2 linked regions of the Solanum lycopersicum genome follow. The protein of the gene in region 1 interacts with the protein of each later gene in a pairwise test. Links are inferred from orthologs where the notes say so. Each region holds a gene or a part of one and is shown in the gene's direction. Other genes may lie near its edges. The genes, in order: protein BRICK 1 and protein SCAR3.

Region 1 (9,421 bases):
CTAATCTTTTAAATTCCGTTAAATGAAGGGTATATGTGAGCCATTTTGTAACGACAGGGGTATATGTGAGCTGTTTGTATAACGGTAAGGGTATATATGAGCCACTTTTATAACGAGGGGTATATCAGCTCCAAATGACAAAGTTGATGGGTATATCAGACCCTTTTCCCTATTAATAATAATGGACCATTGGTCCAAGATGAATTTTTTAAAAAAGAAGGTAAGATTCTAACACTTTTTAGTTTTTATCTTAAAATAATTTCTAACATGTGTTTTTCTCCAGAAGATCACAAATCCATGAAGAAGAAAAAATATAATCTATATCAAATACTAAAATGAACATGAAAACTTCTTGTTTGCTCAGCTAATTTCCCAAGAAATTGACCAACAAAAGGTGAAATTGAAATAGATGTAAACTTCAAAAGAAGTTGTAATTGAATTGCAATTGAGCAAGAAAATAAAATATAAAGAAAGAAAGTGAGAAATTTAGAGAGAAGAAAAGAAAAGAAAGTGTACCATTTATCTTTTTAAACGATTTGGGTCGGGTTAAACCTGTATTTAATTGATATTTAAATTAAATTAATTAATTAAAAGGAGAGTGTGTCTCACGCGTGTGAGGTTGATGAGAAAATGAGCCAAAATGGTCAATTTACAAAGATATTTAATACTTTTGTGGGGTAATAGGACATTTACATAGTTAATGTGTCTTTTTAAAAATCTGAGACAACTTCAGGTGTCAATGTCTTTTCTCTTTTGTAATAGATGAGAAAGATGAGAAGTATTATGCTAACGTTTGACTATCTGATAAATATTATTTGAGTGAAAATTTTACCATGTATTTGACCATAGTATTTGGGAATTATATTTCACCTTTTCAAAAAATATGATTTATATTACAAGTTTTAAAAACTATCAAAACAAACCATAAATTTGTATTACATAGCACATGACTTTATTACCCTAAGCCGATTGTTCATCATTTTCATCAATAAATATATCATCACTTTTATAGTCATTGAATTTCAATCACCACTTTGATGTTCACGTAAAAAATTATATAAAACAATGCAAAAAATTACTATGGAGGGTGTTCTTATATAAAAGATAAAAGTTTGGTGTAGAATTTGAATTATTAAAAGTTACCAAATCATGAGATTTGACTCAAATACTTAAGCTAGCGTTTGACCATAGATTTCAAATATTCTTGGCAAATATTATTAGGGTGAAAATTTGGGTGAAATTTCACCATGTGCTTGCTAGTATTTGAGAAATATATTTCACTTTTTTAGAAAAATATGATTTATACCCATAAATTTTTAAAACTATCAAAACTAACCATAAGTTTGTATTACAAGTGAATTGGATTTTCGTTCCAACGATAACAAATAGTGTCCATGACACTAGAGTAATGTGGTAATTTGGAGTGAGTGAAACATGCATCATTCCATACATCATGAAGTAGACAAATCACATGACATTGTTATCATGAGCCTATTGTTCATCATTTTCATCAATAAACATATCATCATTTAATATTCAGTAAATATTTCATCACTATTTTGGTGTTCCGCGTAAAAAATTATGTAATACAATGCAAGCAACTACTATAGAGGGTGTTTTTGTAAAGGATAAAAGTTTGGGGTAAAATTTTAATTTTCAAATATTATTTGGGAAATCTATGGCCAAACGGCTAGCTTTTTTCTATTATTTGGATAATTTACTAAATTATGTCAAATTATATGGACAAATACTATTTACCATATTTTCTCCCAAATTTTACTCGCGAAATTTATATATGGTGAAATGTGCCCTATATTTTATTTATATTTTGAGGTTGATATAGTGAAAGAGACCGTTAGGAGAAGAAAAAAATATTCTTCTCCAAGCTTTTCACAATACAAAAGTGAGGCATTGTAAGTTGAAGAAATGCATATTTCTATTGATGGATATTTGAAATCTTTAACTAATTCTGAGTTGTTTAAATTATATAACATTGTTAGACTGTTGTATCGTTTAAAGAACAGGTCAAGAAATATATTATTGAATCGATGTAAATTATGTCTCAGAAACTTGAATCTCCTTAAAAAAAACAGTGAAATTTTCATAGCTCATTCTAAATATATATTTATTCAATTTATTTTTTAACTACAACTTATATATTACAATAATTTAGTCAAGAAGGTATTGAAGAGATTAAACTCCTAGTAGAATAAACTCTTGTCCTCTGGCCGGAAGATACATTCTGATAGCCCATCTTTTGCAAACTATGTATTGATAACTGAATATATTATGAATCATATTAAGACTCCAAAATATATTATGGAGTATCCACCGTAGTTAGTTATTTTTAATCTTTGATTTACAAAATCATTTGTCAATGTATATATTATCGTTGTTATTAATAGGTGCATAGGTCCATCTCCTATATTTGATGAGAATGTATATTCCTATTATAAACGTGAATTTGTTTATCGATATTCAGGTTCAAGATTAAACACTAATTTTATATGGAGATAAGTATTGAAAATTTTATTTTCTTTTTCTTTTATATATCATTTCAACTTCTTTTCGTTCGTACTTTCTTCATATTATTGATTAAATCTGAATCTTTAGTAATGACAATTTCTATTCATACTGGATCGATTTTTCAAGAAAATATTAATATCAAGATTTTATTGAACTTTCTAATCAAAATAAGTTATATGCAATTACGTAATCTGCAGATAAATAATCTCATTATATATTGATATGGGGTAAAATTCTATTGTTATAATGATTCTAATCCCTCTTGTGAACAAGAGTTAAAGTGTCACTATGAATCGGGGTGTAGTATAACTATTGTGAGGAAAATCAAATGATGTATAAGGTGAAGGGATACATTTGATTGTTAACTGCGTCATGTCATGTGTTCCTATTTGATTTTTCATTAGAGTGAAGAATATATATATATTTTAATTTTTGAATGACAAAGACATTATTCAAAAATATGACAGATTATTTATATACCATTTATAATAGTTTGAATATATTTATCATTTTTTCTCTTTTAAAATAAGTGTAAGAAACATATTTAAATTATTTTTTTTGAATTTTATATCTAAAATATTGAACATATAAGTATGATATCAATTATACGTATTTCTCAAGCCAATATGAAATTAATATTTTAAGTTAAACGTATTTTCGACATTTATATCTATCTTCTTTTTTTTTAGAAAAAAACAGATTTGCAAGTAGAGATGCTTGCCTTTGAAGAACAAAGAAGGTAATCACTATCTCCTCCATTTTCCTTTAACCTAAAACTAATCATTGCAGAATTGTTTGTTCTCCTTCCGCATCTCTCTCTCTTTCTTCTCCGTTGATCGGAAAACAGTGACCAGAAATGGCTCGAGCCGGAGGAATAACAAACGCGGTGAATGTAGGCATAGCAGTACAAGCAGATTGGGAAAATCGTGAATTCATATCTCACATCTCTCTCAACGTCCGCAAACTCTTCGATTTCCTCGTCCAATTCGGTAAATTTCTCTAACTCATTCAATATCCTTAGGGCAAATATTCGGTTTTTGTTAAATTCCTGTTGTAAAGCGATTTCGGTGTTGATTTTGTTCTACTTTCAGAGGCGACGACGAAGAGTAAATTGGCGACACTGAATGAGAAGCTTGATACACTGGAACGTCGTTTGGAACTGCTTGAAGTCCAAGTCAGTACAGCAACTGCTAATCCAGCTCTGTTTAATGTTTGACATGATGCAAGCATTGTACTAATATTCTCAATCTGTAAGGTACTTCAATTCTGTATTATAAATAGATTGCTTTGTTTTGGAGATCATATTTGTGAAAAGTCCTTGTTTTATGAAAATCTCAATCAAATGTGCCTGAATTAGTTAGGTTAGCTATATGAATTTGTGTGAGATTCGGCTCTATTCAAGTACATTATGTTCGGATAGTTAATAATCAGTTGCAATTTTGTGGAAATGATTCATGGAATTTAGTAGCTGCAAGTATGCATACCTATTGGATCTACAGTTTCTTTCATCTAAGTTTTCAGTTCGCTAAAACTACTGTGTTGGTTCATTGCTAATGCACAATGGAGATTGTCTATGTGTAAATTGGAATGATAAGTTGATTTGAGGGGTCAAAGCATTACTATAAATTCTTCAAGACCATCTTAATCTTTTGACCTAGTTAATATGAAGCAAATGTTGTTTATACCTTCTGTAATGCCGTTTTGATATTCTTGCCTGTTTTCTTCATATGGCTTCTTGGAACTTTAATCTGCTGGATCTCAGTCTCTTATTTTTCTCTGTGAGTTGGTTCTTTTCTCATGTGCGATGGAGATTTATATGTGGAAATAGGAACATTGTGCTTGTTCATTTATAAAAGTTACTTTACCTTCTCTGGGAAAAAAATGATCGTTTTACCTTCTCATTTTTTTTCTACTAACTTTTTATGTAATACAATCATGTGAAATGTCATTCTTGTAGTCAGTAACCAATCAACGATGCTTAAACTAAAACTTGTTGTGTCATCTATGTGAATCCTCTAATCCATCCTGCTTCTTTGTAATACTAAAAGAATTATCTTTTGAAGTAAATTAGAGGTTTCTAGATCATACTTGGACATGGAAGCTTTAATTAGGACTTCCTGACTTGTAGCAGTTTTTAATACATCCTTGTTTTTAATACGTCCTTCGTTCCAATTTATGTGGCGTCGTGTGACTGGCACAGAGATTAAGAAATTAAAAAGACTCTTTGAAGTTGTGGTCTAAAACAAGTCAGAGATGTGTCTAGTAGGAAATCCTCATTAAGGGTAAAATAGAAAGTTTAAGTAAGTATGACATTCTGTCTAGGACAGACTAAAGGTGAAAGTAGACACATAAATTGGGACAAAATGAATAATCGTTTTCAATACAGAGTTTAACATAATGAAAGGTTGGACATGAGAATGAAATAGCTTGCTGGCCATATACCATACAGCTATATTCCAGACTGGTTATTGTTAACATGGTTGATTTATCTATTAAGGGTTACTTGGTATTGACTGCTATTGTTTACATGTTTTTCCCTTGCCTTCTTCATACTAGCCACCAGGTTCGTAGTTTAGATTGAGCACTGTTTATTTACAAAGTTATAAGATTATATTAATGTTAAATTTGTAATGGACTTATAGCCTATAGGAGTTAAGTAATAAGTTTTAGTTCTAGTTGGAAGTTGTATTATGTGGAAGTGGACAAGTCCATTAAGAAGATCTGGCAAATGATCCAGCTCGTAATTTTTGGTGTCTATGCGCAGAAAGGAACAAAAGATGTTTTGATGGGACTTCAACTCCTCACTGCTCTCTTAAGTCCAAGTGTTTGATAAATCTCTTTAGAAAGAGCAATCTATCCCCTGTAAATGGTGTCATTCCCCTTTAGATTGTATCAGCTCCCTCTCAGTGTCTTAGCAGCCTTGAGTTCTAGTTTCTTTTATCTGAGATAATTCAACTCTTGTCAAGAAAGAAAAGAAAGAGAATCTGAGATAATTCATTCACATATTTCTCAGATCTCTCAATCCAGAAACACCTTGAATCAAGTTATTTTCTAATTAGCCCTTCAACTTGATCACATTGCTTTCTTTCTATCAAACACATCTCATTTTTACGAAGACATGAAACTTGTGTTTTCAGACCTCATTGACCTGTTGTATCACTGTAACTTTGAGTGCTGAAAGCTCGTGTATTCCTGAAATGGAAGGGTTTACAGGGCAATGAGTATTCTCATTCCTTCCAGCTTCATTTGTTCCCTCCATATTTGATTTTGGGATCTTTACACAAATAGCCAACCAGATTCACTGTTTAGTTTTCCTAAACGCTACACATATATCATCCACGGTTATACAATATTATATTATACATCCGCCGGCTATTTTTAGTTTAAGCTGTTGGGTAGGCAGCTATTTAGGTTAATTCTTCTATTTTCTTTATTTTGATCCTATGGAAATTAACACCCTAGTTGCTGTATAAAGAACATAAGAAGTAAAAGTTTAACACCCTACATACATGTATGGTGCCTGGAAACTTTGACATAACTTACTCTGTCCATCCATCTTCTTTATGTTAACTACGCCTCTATTCCAAGCTAGTTGAAGTTGGTTATATTGATCCTTAATAGCTTGTGAGGATTCATCATATAATGAATAATTACTTGCTGGCCGTCAACCTACCGTAATTCTCTTCTTTTATCCGAGTTCTCAACTTGCAACAGGAAAAATTCTCACAGGCTATTTATGTACTGCATAAAAAACTTCTGAGTTTTTTAAGAATTACAACTTTCCTTTTGATGGTTTATTAAGTTCAACGTCCTTCTAATTCAAACTAGCTATTGTTGCAATTCTTGTTTACAGTTTAGGGATCTCGCCATCTCCTGCTAGTGAAATTTTATTTCCCTCTAGCAATTATGAATGATCTATGTTTTCACAAGATGCTGTTTGAATATTGCACCAAAGTTGGGGTGAGAGAGGGATTTCTTGGACTCAGTAAAACATGTTTGCAGTGAGCCAGTGACTATTCAAGAACTCTATCCTATCTTTTGACCCAAGGATTTCGGCTATCTGATCTCAACTCATTTCATATAATCTTCAAAGTACGGATGTCATCGTTATTATGGAAAGATAAGCCCTTAATAAGCCGTGAGCCGCTGCACAGTCTTTTAACGTACACGGTTACATTTGAGGGTGATTAAGAGTAATTTTCTCTTATTCCTTTTTTATTTTATAAAAGAAGTGATGCTACTTATCAGGGTTTAGGTAGATAAAATCTCCTGTTATTTGATGTCGGCCGAACCCTAAGTTTGGATTGTGCAGCTTTTCAGTGATGTGAGATGTGAAGTTTCAGATTTGTTGTGGATTGAATCTTATTCTTTGATAGGTTAATGCTTCAGTAATTGAATGACCCAGAGCAGTGACGTATAGCAAGCTGCACGTGTTCTTGTGCTATGCTTAGAAAAGAACCAGTGCTTGGATTTTATTAATAGTGGGCATTTATTTAGAAGCTCTCTTACATTTTAGAATCTTCTTCAATGAATAAATAAGGGACAGTTTAAGTTGAAGGAATTTGAAGGAAGTAATTTGTTTGAGAAACTTCCCACCGAATCTGTTATATGTTGCAACAGCCGTAATAGTTTCAAAAAGAAATGTTTTTTAAAAAAACAGCCGTAATCCTTGTGCTGAACAATTATCTCGGCAGTGGAGGAGCTGGTTTTGAAAGGAGGTGATGAATGGATCTATTTCAAATTTAGTGGGTGGAAGGTTAATGGATCTTTCTATTCTATAGAGAAATGATAAGATCTTCCAAACTTTAAATGGACTTCAAAGTCCTTATATCTATTATCATGGCATCTTCAAGCTCTCTTACAATGTTGGCCATGCATGGTTAGTAAGCACCAGCTTCCACAGATCCTCTTCCTTAATACCTCGATGCATAATTTGTTCAACTCTTGTGTTCCTACTATGAAGTTTAACCTGAACATCAAAGAGAACACTTGCAAGTTATTATGCAGATTAAGTAAGGCTGGACAACGGAACGGGATGTACCGGTACCATTTTGGTTAGTCCCGGTTCGGTTGCCTACAGGACTGAACGGGACATCTCGAACCGGGACACGGAACGGAATGGAACCGAGGTTTGGTATCGGTGGTTTATCCCGGTTTCGGTCTGGTCCGGTCCGGTCCGATTTCGATTAATTAATATTTATTAATTAATTAATATTATAATTTATTAATTAATTTATATTATATATTTATAAATTATAATTTATATTTTATATTTTATATTAAATAATAAATACTACCCAAGTAACCCCAACTACTCCCTATTAGTATTATATTAATATTACATTACTATATTAATATTACATTCGAGACTTAGTTGAAACAGAACCTTTCCTAGAAGGTGGTTACATAAACTATGCACCCTACTAGTAGTTCTAAATTGAAATTGTAATTTATAATACAAATTTAAATAAATCAAATTGATATTTTTTAATTTGTGTGATTGTTTTATCCTTATTTTTTTTAATTTTTAAAATTACAAATTTAATTTATTTAAATTACAAGTTATAAATATTACTTATAAATTATAACATATTAATAAATAATAAGTACTAACTTTATTAGACTTAACGTGCAAACTTAAAAGTAAAATTTTTATAAAAAATTATCTTTAAAATAACTTAAGTAAGAAATTACACTATAAATTTAAAAACTATTAATTTAAACTTAGAAAAAAAAAATATTCATATTTCGTAATTAAAAAAAATCATTTTTTGAGATAACTAGATGTGTCATTCCGTTCCATCCCGGTATATAGTGGGACGGGACGGAACTGAGTATCCGTTTCGGTAATTTCGGTTCGGTTCACCCGGTACCGATCAACTCGTCCCATTCTGGTCTGGTTACGGTTCATTCCAGTCTGGTGGTCTCGTTCCGGTTCGTTGCCAGTCTTAGGATTAAGTTATGCAAAGTTGCATTAGTTAAGCAGTTGGCATAAGTTTTATTTTGAATGAACAACACTATGTTGGTTTGCACCTCTATATATTTTTTCTGATTCGAAGAGATTCGTTTATCTTCTTTGAAGATCAGCTGGTGAAGAGGGATGAATACTTTCTCCTGGTAACATAACAAGTTTACTCTTTCGATATTTTGAGAAAGGATGAGTGCAGTAGCCTGCTAGAAAGAGAAGGATTTACCAACTTTAAGAAACTAGCATAAGCAGTGAATGTGCAGTTGTTAAAGGGATATCACTTAGGGAAGTGACAGTGGACACAAGTGGTAGTGGTAGTGGTTATTTAGTAATCCAGTGAGGGGTCTTGTGGCAGTTTGTTTGTTGGTTGTGGGGACAGAATAGAGAGCAGGTATATTGGGCTTATTGGCTATGGAAGAGTTCAGAAAGAAGGTTAAAAACAGTAGTTGTGGCAGCTGTGGTGGGGGCTATGGGAAATGTTGTGGAAGCAATCACTAATGCTTGCATTAGGTTAGGTTGTCTATATCACAATTCACAGGTGAGGCTCTTCCTAAACCTGCTAACTCGGGATGCTTTATGCCCCGGCTAAACTGGTCTAAATTGTTCTATTTCTGATGAATATCTGATAGTTCTATTTGTTTTCTGTGAGTTTTCTATATCTTCGTTATTGTTTTGTAACATTAGTAGTTTCTAAGCTCAAACATCAATGAAGGCCTAAATCTCAATTCTATTAGAATGGCTTATCAGATTATCAGAAGGTAAAATCATCTTGTGGATATTGGGGGAAAAAACAAGGGGGTCTTGGCATAAAAAATCTCAAGCTACAGAGTAAGGCTCTCAGATTGAAATGGCTTTGGAGATATTGACAAGAACCTCAAGCATATTGGAGTAAGGTTATAAATCAAATATGGTGAAGTGGATAAGTGG
Region 2 (8,957 bases), on another chromosome or scaffold:
TATATTTATTAATTCTCTCACATTCAATTAAAGAATACTTGTAGGCAAAGTAGAAAGAGAGAGAGAGAGAGAGAGGTGAAACGGAACGATGCCGTTGGTGAGAACTGCGGTGAGGAATGTGTACGGATTGGGAACGCCGGAATTGTACCGAGACGCCGAGAAAGAGGATCCAAAGGCGGTGCTTGACGGAGTTGCAGTCGCTGGACTCGTCGGGATCTTGCGTCAGCTCGGCGATCTCGCTGAGTACGTTTTTCCATTTTTCACAAATTTTTTGAACACATTGTTTTCATTCTTTGCTCTTTGCCAGCTTTAAAGTTCAATCTCAGTGAGCGTTTTCCGGAAAAAGTTTTATCTTTGATTTTTTTTGTTGAGTTCTATTTTGTTATATTGTGGTGAAGTTGAAGTAATTTCTCTGAAAAAAATCGAACTTTGTTTGTACTAACTAAACGGATGTATTGCTGAATTCAAATTAGTTGAGCTGAAATTGGCTAAATTTCGAATTAAGTTTATAGCTTAGTTAATTTACACTTTTTTTTCGATGAGAAGGAATTATCTGATTTTGCTCCTTTTTATCAGCATATTTCTTTCTTGTTGTTTTTAATCTTTCATAATTATTTCCCTAGTTTGGTGCATGCAAAATAAGTTGTTCCTCAGCTCCACTTTTCATGACACAAGTATGTTAGTTTGATTGGTAGATTATATATAAGTAGTGAAATAAAATGTTAATGTGGTTTAAATTTTCCTTTGCATCAATGCAGACTTGACTAATGATAGGGCACAATGAAAGGTAAAGATTCATATATGTCATGCTACTAGTTGAGAATAGGTTTTAGACTTGTTAGAGAACTTATAGTATTATAGTTTTTATTATTTATTATATATATTTGAAATTAGTTTTCATTTTATTATTTAGTATGACGATGATACAAAATGAGCTTAAATGAAGAAGTCGGGATTCATATAGTTCACCTCTTAACTTGTTTGAGAATGAGGTGTAGTAGTTGTTGTTTGATTTGGATTTTTGAAACTATACTAGTGATGTTAAACACTTCTGGCTATTTCAATTGGAAAAATGTCATTTGAATTAGGAGAAAAAAGATGTCTTATAAATAAGAAAAAAGAAGAAGAAGGTAACTCCTTTTTGTGTTTAATTTGGTTACTTCGGATCTACCTAAGTTAAGTTGACTGAATTTTGTGGAAAATGAGAAAAGGATAAACTTTTGATTTGAAGATAGCAAACAGATTTACCAAAGAAATTTGTGGTAAAGGGTTTTGTCATATTGACTCTAGAGAATTGTGAAGTGAAAAAATATTTAGACGAGTGGGGTATATGTATAGTGCGTTCAACTTACTCTATGGCCATTAAACTGAGAGTAAACTTACATATATCTCGTTCCACCAAATGAAGACCAAAATTACTATAGAGCAATAGATAATAGTATGTACCCCCAATCTTTTTAGAACCTTGTGTTGATCTTAAAGGATAAGGCAAAATGTTAAACACTTTTGAGACTTCACCTGTTTAGACTTTAGCCAAGCTGCGAAAACCTGCTTATTTTAATTAGTGTTTTTATGTTGTCAAAAGTAGTTTTTTGAAAAAGTGATTTTGAAGATTAGCAGTTTGTGTTTGGCTAATCAATTTGGTAAGCACTTTTGCCAATATTAGAGCAGTAATTTGCACTTGGCCAAGGCTGCAGGTGTGTTTCTGGGAAAAAGCTACTTTTTTCCAGCTTCTGCTACTATAAGCTTTTAATTTTACCATACAAACACCCCTATTCTCTAATATAAACACTTTTGGCTTCTCAGAAGCTTGGTCAAACATATTATTATTGGCTGTTTGAAATACCCCCTGCAACTTATATATCAATATCAACATCAGCTCCAAATAACTGATGGCTAATTCAGAGCACTTAAGTTATCTGCAGATATATGTATATTAGAACTAAAACTCAGAAAACTATCCAAAAGCAACAAAAGAATTCTTCCCTACAAAAATCAAATGCGTAGTTAAGCACAACTCATTACTTCTTCCTCCAAAAGGCAAGAGCCATTAACCTCTGATAAGAAGGGAAGTTCACCACATTGAACTCCTCTTCTTTTTCTTATACATGGTATATAATAGAGTTTCTATACCAGCTTGCATGCACCTCAACGATTTCACAGATACTTGCATCTTTACACCAATACAGGATCATGTATCAGGTAACTTTACCTATCAAGGCTTAGGCAGATGGGAAGAAATCACCTTAATTTTTTGCCTCTGCTAGAATTTCAACCTTGGTATCTCATGGTCTTCATTAAAACATCATTGACCGGTAAGCTATATCCTTGTGGGGCGGGGCTCACATTAAACTACATTTTGACAATGCTGGCCCAGCATTTACCATTTCTTAGATGGGTTATAACTACAACGTATAATCTGTATGAGCTATATCAATTCAGGACTTCCTGCTGAGTTTTTGAATGCTTAAAACATAGTAATTAAGAGAAGTTTTGTACTTGTAGATTTGCAGCGGAAGTGTTTCATGGCTTACAAGAGCAAGTGATGGTTACATCCTCGAGAAGCAATAAGTTGGTTGTTCGGGTGCAAAAAATTGAAGCTGCACTTCCTCCACTTGAGAAATCAGTATTGGCGCAACAGAGTCATTTACACTTTGCTTATACAGCTGGTATGACTTTTTAATCTCAATTACTGGATTTCTTCTACTGATGATAGAAGATAGTGGGAACGGGGGTGATTTGGTTTTATTTATCTCGCTCAGATATATCTATCTATGATACAAATGATGTTCCAAATAGTTCCACAAATGAAGTGTTGGTTGTAGGAAATACTTCACTTTCGGTGTATTTGGAATATCTATTTCCGCAGATCAAATGGCTTCTTTTCCTGCTCGAGTTTTTTTTTTATGGAAGCAGTTGGTATGCAGGATCCAATTGGCATGCCCGTATCCGTAGTGAACAAAATCATTTTATATACAATGACTTGCCAAGATTTATCATGGATTCGTACGAAGAGTGTCATGCTCCGCCACGCTTGCATTTGCTTGACAAGTATGTGAACTCACCTTTATAGCTATATTTGTATATCCTGATTGCACTGTTACACTCATAAAATTTTTACTTGTCTCTTCAGATTTGACCCTGGAGGACCTGGATCTTGCTTGAAAAGGTATTCAGATCCAACTTTCTTTAAGAGAGCATCTGTTGGGTCAGACGAAGAATATATTGCCAAAGTCCTTAAAGAAAAGAAGGGTCGGAAGATTAAGGTATCTCACAAATTATTCTGAAATACCTGCCACAGCTTAACTAGTGTAGATTGACTTGGGATTTTTATGAGCAGTATCCTCGTATCTATTCACAGGACACAAAGGATATTATAAAGTTGAAGAACTACATCTTAAATAGTAAAATACAAGTACACACACATCAATGAAAGCCTCTCCATAATGTGCCTTGCATATAGGTAGAGCCAGAAGTATGCTGTATGGGATAGGTTAGAACCATATAATTAGCAAGGATAGCTAGAAATTGGATTCATCGGGAGAAGATCATCTATGTCAAATATATAGATTTAGGAGTATAAATTTGTATTAGTCTATACACATAGATAAAGAAACATAAAATGAGATACAATTATTGAAAACTGAATGAAATGAAAATGAAATTAGCTTTGATTGTAAACTATCACATGAATTTAGCAGATTAAAAAAAAAAGACCAGTATGTTAATTAATAACATGATGGAACTGTCTTTTCAACAAAGAAAAATTGCAACCAGATCTTTTATTGTTAAAGTTCTTTTCAAGCAAATAACTCAATAAAACTAAACACCGATTCCTCACTGGTTGATACATTTAATAGAGCAAAGAAGCATATCAACAATATCTTTTGCACAAATTTATGAAATATATTCAAGTGGTAGTTCATATTATATTCTCTTTTGGACATAGCATTTTCATCTAAATAAACTAAATTAACTAATATATAACTTACACTGTCAATTGGAACAAAGAAATAGGGCAGTTCGGTGCACTAAGCTCCCACTATGCGTAAGGCCTAGGTAAGGAAGGACCGCGACATTGTCCTTTCTTTCATCTTTTCCGCATTGTCTGTTTAGCTTTTGGGTTTGAAGAACTTTCTTTGTGTGGAAAGCTATATCTCATGTATTGATTACTATCCTCGAATGGGAGAGAGGGCATAAATAGAAACCTAGCAGAGTCCAAAACTAAATAGTTGTATTAGTTTATACCAAATATTAGGAATCCACTGCCAATATATCAATACAGGGTTGTCCTTTTTTCCTTTATTTTTCTTGTTTTGGGGTTGCTCATTGGAAGTTGTTGAAGGTGTTTGGCTTTAAAAAGAACGTTGAGAGGAAGCCGGGGAAGGAGACACAACCCATGAGCATACCAGTGCTTGACATTGATGACATCTAACTTTGCACAGTGAACATCAAGCATTTACTAGAAGCACAAGTTAGTACTGTCTGTTTATAATTGCATTAATCTTAAGTCTTTCCATAACCATTCTCCTAACAGAGAACGGGAATGAAAGGTGATACTATATGTGCAGATTGAGCATAAGATGCAAGGGGGATGGGCTTCTTATGTGTCATCTTTCCATAAGTAAAAATTGAAAAGGATCAGAGCTTATTTGCACTGAGATTTTGTTCTATTCCCTGGTATAGACTATGGTCTTTTGTTTAACGGGGTGTTACTTCGGCCCTGAAATATTAGAATATACTTTCTGTAGTGCTTCTTATAATAAGCTCAAAAAAGGATTTATCTCCATTGGTATTTTCCAACAAGTGCATATGAATGTTAACCAAAAATTTGAGCTATTGCAAGCTTGTTTCTGTTTGGTAGTAATTTCAAGAAGTTTTCTAATGCAAATATGTGTCAACATTGAACAGAAGAAAGGATCATGGAGGAGGAATGGAGAAGTCTCTCGTAGTGCGTCTATGCCCAATTATGGCAGTAGGTATGCATTTCTTGTCTTCTCTTGCGGACAGAAAAGATGGAGAAAAAGTGGTGACTTTAGAGAATTGATGTATGATAGGGAGGGGGGTAGGGGGAAGTATATTTGTAGCTTTTACAGATCGGAATTTTCTGAAATATAACTTTGTGATTTTTGCAGAATGCAATTTGCTTATAGAAATCTCGATAGGCGTCCTTCCTGGGTTCAGAGTTTCTCCGCATATGATACAACCCTCAAATCTGACATAGATTCGAGACATGGGTCGGGTCTGACGGACTATGTTTCACAGACAAGTTTCTCTATTCAACCTGAAGATGGAAAATCTGAGACTGTCTCGTCTACAATAAAAATGCAGCACAATCAGTCGTTTGATTATTCTTTTCTCGAAGAAAAGAGTGATCACACTTTCAATGATATTGACAAAGATTTTTCACAAGAGCTAACTGACCTTGTTTCAACGTCTGTTTCTTGGAACATGAAGCTACCTGACACGCAAGAGTCTAAAGGATCCTTTGATTCAACTTCACAGCTTCATCTTAACAATACATTTAATCATGATTTTCCTGAGGAAAGACGTGAAGTTGTTTATGACGACATTGGTAATATTGTATCCGAAGAGCAAGCTGATCGTTGCACATCTTCTATTACTTGGAATGATAAAACAGGACGTGAGAAACAAGAATCTAGAGAATCCTTTTCTTCTCCCTCCCAGATTCATCATGATAATTTGCCTGATTGTGCTTCCCCTGTTCGAAAAGGCGATGATGAGTACAGTGATATGGGAAACAGCTTAACAGAGGAGCAAATTGGCCGCAACTTATTGCCTGTTGCTTTGAGTGATAAGATGAGAACTGCTGAAGTAGAGTCTAAAGAAATCTTTTACTCTCCGTTACAGATGAATCCAAGTGCTTCCATAGAAGATGATTCTCCCAATGAAAAGCTTTGGGTCATATCTGATGAAGAGAGTAACAATTTTCCACAAGGGCAGGTGGTTCTTAGTTCACCTTTCTCAAGTAGCAGTGTTAAGAATGAACAGTTGGACCTGAGTATTCAGAAGTATGATTTTGATGAGAGTTTGGAGGCACTTCAAGAAAATCTAGTCCTAGATACACAGGTATTAGATATAGCAACTTCTGAAAATATTCAACAGCAAAGTTCTGAGCCGGAGGCTGAAATTATACAAAGGTCAATTTCTTATGAAAGCCAGTTTGATGACATTGAAAGTGAAAGCGACAGTTTTATGGATGCACTTAACACCATTGAGTCAGAGTCTGAAACTGATTTGGATTGCCAAAGAAAACGAGCAATGGAGCTGGAGTCTAGTTTGAAGACTGAATCATCCTTGAATGGAACCCATGTAAATAGTGCAGAACTTTCTGATCGGAATTTGTCTACTCCTATACCCGAGGCTGCAGCCAGAAATTCCCCTGAGAACCGTGGTTTTGGTGGTAAGACCAACTTGGTATCTGCTGACTCTGATCCTGGAGATTTCTCCTTCTCTAACAAAGTAAAACGTAAGGAAATTCCAGAGAATATCTCTTCAGGGTTTGATGAGATTTTATCGTCTCCGCAGATTGCTGGAATTACTTTAAAACTAGACAGTTCTATAGATGTCCCTTCAAGTAAAAGATCCAATTTTCTGGAAGCATCACAAGAGGAACCACTTGTTAGCAATCATATCACCTCTAGCCCTAGAAATCCTTCTTCAGCATTGCCAGTGGTCAACAAGATCCATTGTAGTCCTTCCGACTCTGAAAAACCTCCACCCCAACTTCTTGCCACTCCTAAAGTCAAATTCTGGACAAATGGTGGCTTGCTCGGGCTTGAGCCCTCGAAGCCGCCAGATGGTGTAATAAATAGTGTTGGTCAAGTTTATGAATCTAATCAAAATGAGGAAGTCATTGCTTCAAGGCAAGATCCTGTTCCCAGCAGTGAAAAGCATACAGGGAAACAAGATGATGTACAGAATACGTCAAGAGAGAAAGCTGATTGCCAAAATTCTGGTCAAGGAGTTGCCTTTTCTATTAAGAACATATCATCAAGATTTTCAGCCAAAGATTTAGATGTCAAACTTGACAAGTCAAGTAATTTATACCAGCAAAACTGCACTGGTAAGCCCCTTCACAGTTCTTCAAATGGATATGGTATGACATCTAGGACAATCGGTACAGTTAGTCCAGAATCCCCTATTTTAGCTGGTCAAGAGAACGGAAAGAATTCATCACGTATTCTTGAACTAGGTAATAGATTGCTTACAAATGGGTTCCATGGGAAACTCTCACTTGGTTGGAATGATAAGACGGATTCAGCCAGTTCTTTCAACACTGGAAGCAATGAGCCTATAAATGACTACCAACAATGTGTGGGTAGAACAATCAAAGACTTCCCAGGAAGAGTGTCCCCCTTCACATCACCTCCTTCATCACCCCCACTTGGACATATGAAAATTTCATTCCAGCCAATAGACAGCATTGAGACTACGAAACTGAAGCTCAGATTTCCTGAAAGCAATAATGATATGTTTCCTTCATTTCAGCTAGTACCAGAGCCTTCTATTCCTCTGCAAGAAGTTGGTTCAGACTCCGATGATGACACATTTTCCGGATCATCTCCCGATCTATCAGATGATTATCTTAGCCATCAGTCTGAGTCAAACTCTGAACAGTGGGAATCTGGTAATTTCCCTAATTTAAAGGACCAAGAAGTATACAATGCTTTGCATAGAATATCATTAACTGAGTCAACTTCAACATCTTTCGAGAATGGCCGAACAACTCATCAGGATTTGCACACCTGCAGTAGAAACCATATTCCTTTTGCAGAATCCTCTCTGGAGGATTCTCCGTCTGATAACTTATTTGATCTTCCGGTTCTGGATACCCAGCATTCCTCATTCAAGCATGGAGTAGGTAATACTACGTCTGCAAGAGATTTTCTAGAGCCATTGAAGGAATCTACACCACCTGCTCCACCTCTTCCTTCAATGCAGTGGCAGAATATGCAATCACATTTAGATGACGAACAAGATGATCTACATCTTTTCTCCGAACACCATCATGTGTTTGATCACAAGGAGCCTGGATCGACCATTTCCCATCAACCTAAGCCTCCTCCATTCAAGCAAAACCAAGTTATTGAATCTGCATTTACATTGAAAAGCAAGGTATTCTTCCTAACCCCACTACAAAATATCAAAAGGAACAGAAATTTTGTTTTAAAGGTTCTCTTTCTGCTTTCATATCCCACTTGGTTAAGTAGGAAGTGACAAAAAGACATTTACACATGCAGCAGCCACAGTCAATAGACACAACTGGGCAGCAATTTGCTGATCATGCTGGAAATGGCAGAGGAATCAATGAAAAGGAAGACTTCCTACACCAGATTAGAGCAAAAGTGAGTGGTCATTATTGTCCTATTGGTGATTGAATATTTGTCTGCAGTCTGGTTTTGATATTGATTAGTGCAGCTATGTTTACCTTTTTTATCTGTTAATTTTCTTTAAGCCTGAGTGAATTTTCTGAATACTTCATGAATTTTTAGATTTGGAAAATCAGCTAGCCGTTCTTTTTGAATTAGATATTGGATAGCTAAGCTAGTTTTAGCCTGTTACCTCAATGGGTTCACTAGCATCTTTAAGCTCCATATTTCCTTGAACAACTACCCTCTAATTTTCTTTCTCATGAATGTGACCCACCTTCTGTAGGTAATTGTCTTTCACCCTTCTTTGAAATGTGAGTAGGGGGTTGAAGTACTATGAAAGTATGTTCTTCATACTTGAGGATGATGAAGCATCTGATGATAATAATTTTCCAATTTTATGTCATTTGACGAATTCTCATTATCTACATTCCTTTTTTGTTGTATGATTCAGTCGTTCAATCTTAGACGAACTGCTCCAGCAAAACCAACTGGAAATACAGTGCCTCCAGCAAGCGTCAAGGTCAATGCAATATTGGAGAAAGCCAATGCAATCCGTCAGGT

The links.
Region 2: the proteins of protein BRICK 1 (region 1) and protein SCAR3 interact in binary tests that used the Arabidopsis thaliana proteins (3 or more experiments, as listed by UniProt). The link is inferred for Solanum lycopersicum from reciprocal best matches to the Arabidopsis thaliana genes BRK1 and WAVE2.

The regions. Positions count from the first base shown.
Region 1 is NC_090802.1:8,362,110-8,371,530, forward strand, and holds the start of protein BRICK 1, read left to right. Parts: upstream 1-3,164; 5' UTR 3,165-3,265; exon of another isoform or gene 3,266-3,373; 5' UTR 3,374-3,382; coding exon 3,383-3,515; intron 3,516-3,617; coding exon 3,618-3,742; 3' UTR 3,743-3,781; exon of another isoform or gene 3,782-3,974; intron 3,975-6,379; exon of another isoform or gene 6,380-6,918; intron 6,919-9,228; exon of another isoform or gene 9,229-9,241; 3' UTR 9,242-9,421. UniProt on the Arabidopsis thaliana protein: Involved in regulation of actin and microtubule organization. Part of a WAVE complex that activates the Arp2/3 complex.
Region 2 is NC_090801.1:58,160,302-58,169,258, forward strand, and holds part of protein SCAR3, read left to right. Parts: 5' UTR 1-88; coding exon 89-243; intron 244-758; exon of another isoform or gene 759-767; coding exon of another isoform or gene 768-787; intron 788-2,505; coding exon 2,506-2,669; intron 2,670-2,916; exon of another isoform or gene 2,917-2,927; coding exon 2,928-3,051; intron 3,052-3,133; coding exon 3,134-3,266; intron 3,267-4,911; coding exon 4,912-4,979; intron 4,980-5,135; coding exon 5,136-8,139; intron 8,140-8,264; coding exon 8,265-8,369; intron 8,370-8,847; coding exon 8,848-8,955; intron 8,956-8,957. UniProt on the Arabidopsis thaliana protein: Involved in regulation of actin and microtubule organization. Part of a WAVE complex that activates the Arp2/3 complex. Regulates trichome branch positioning and expansion.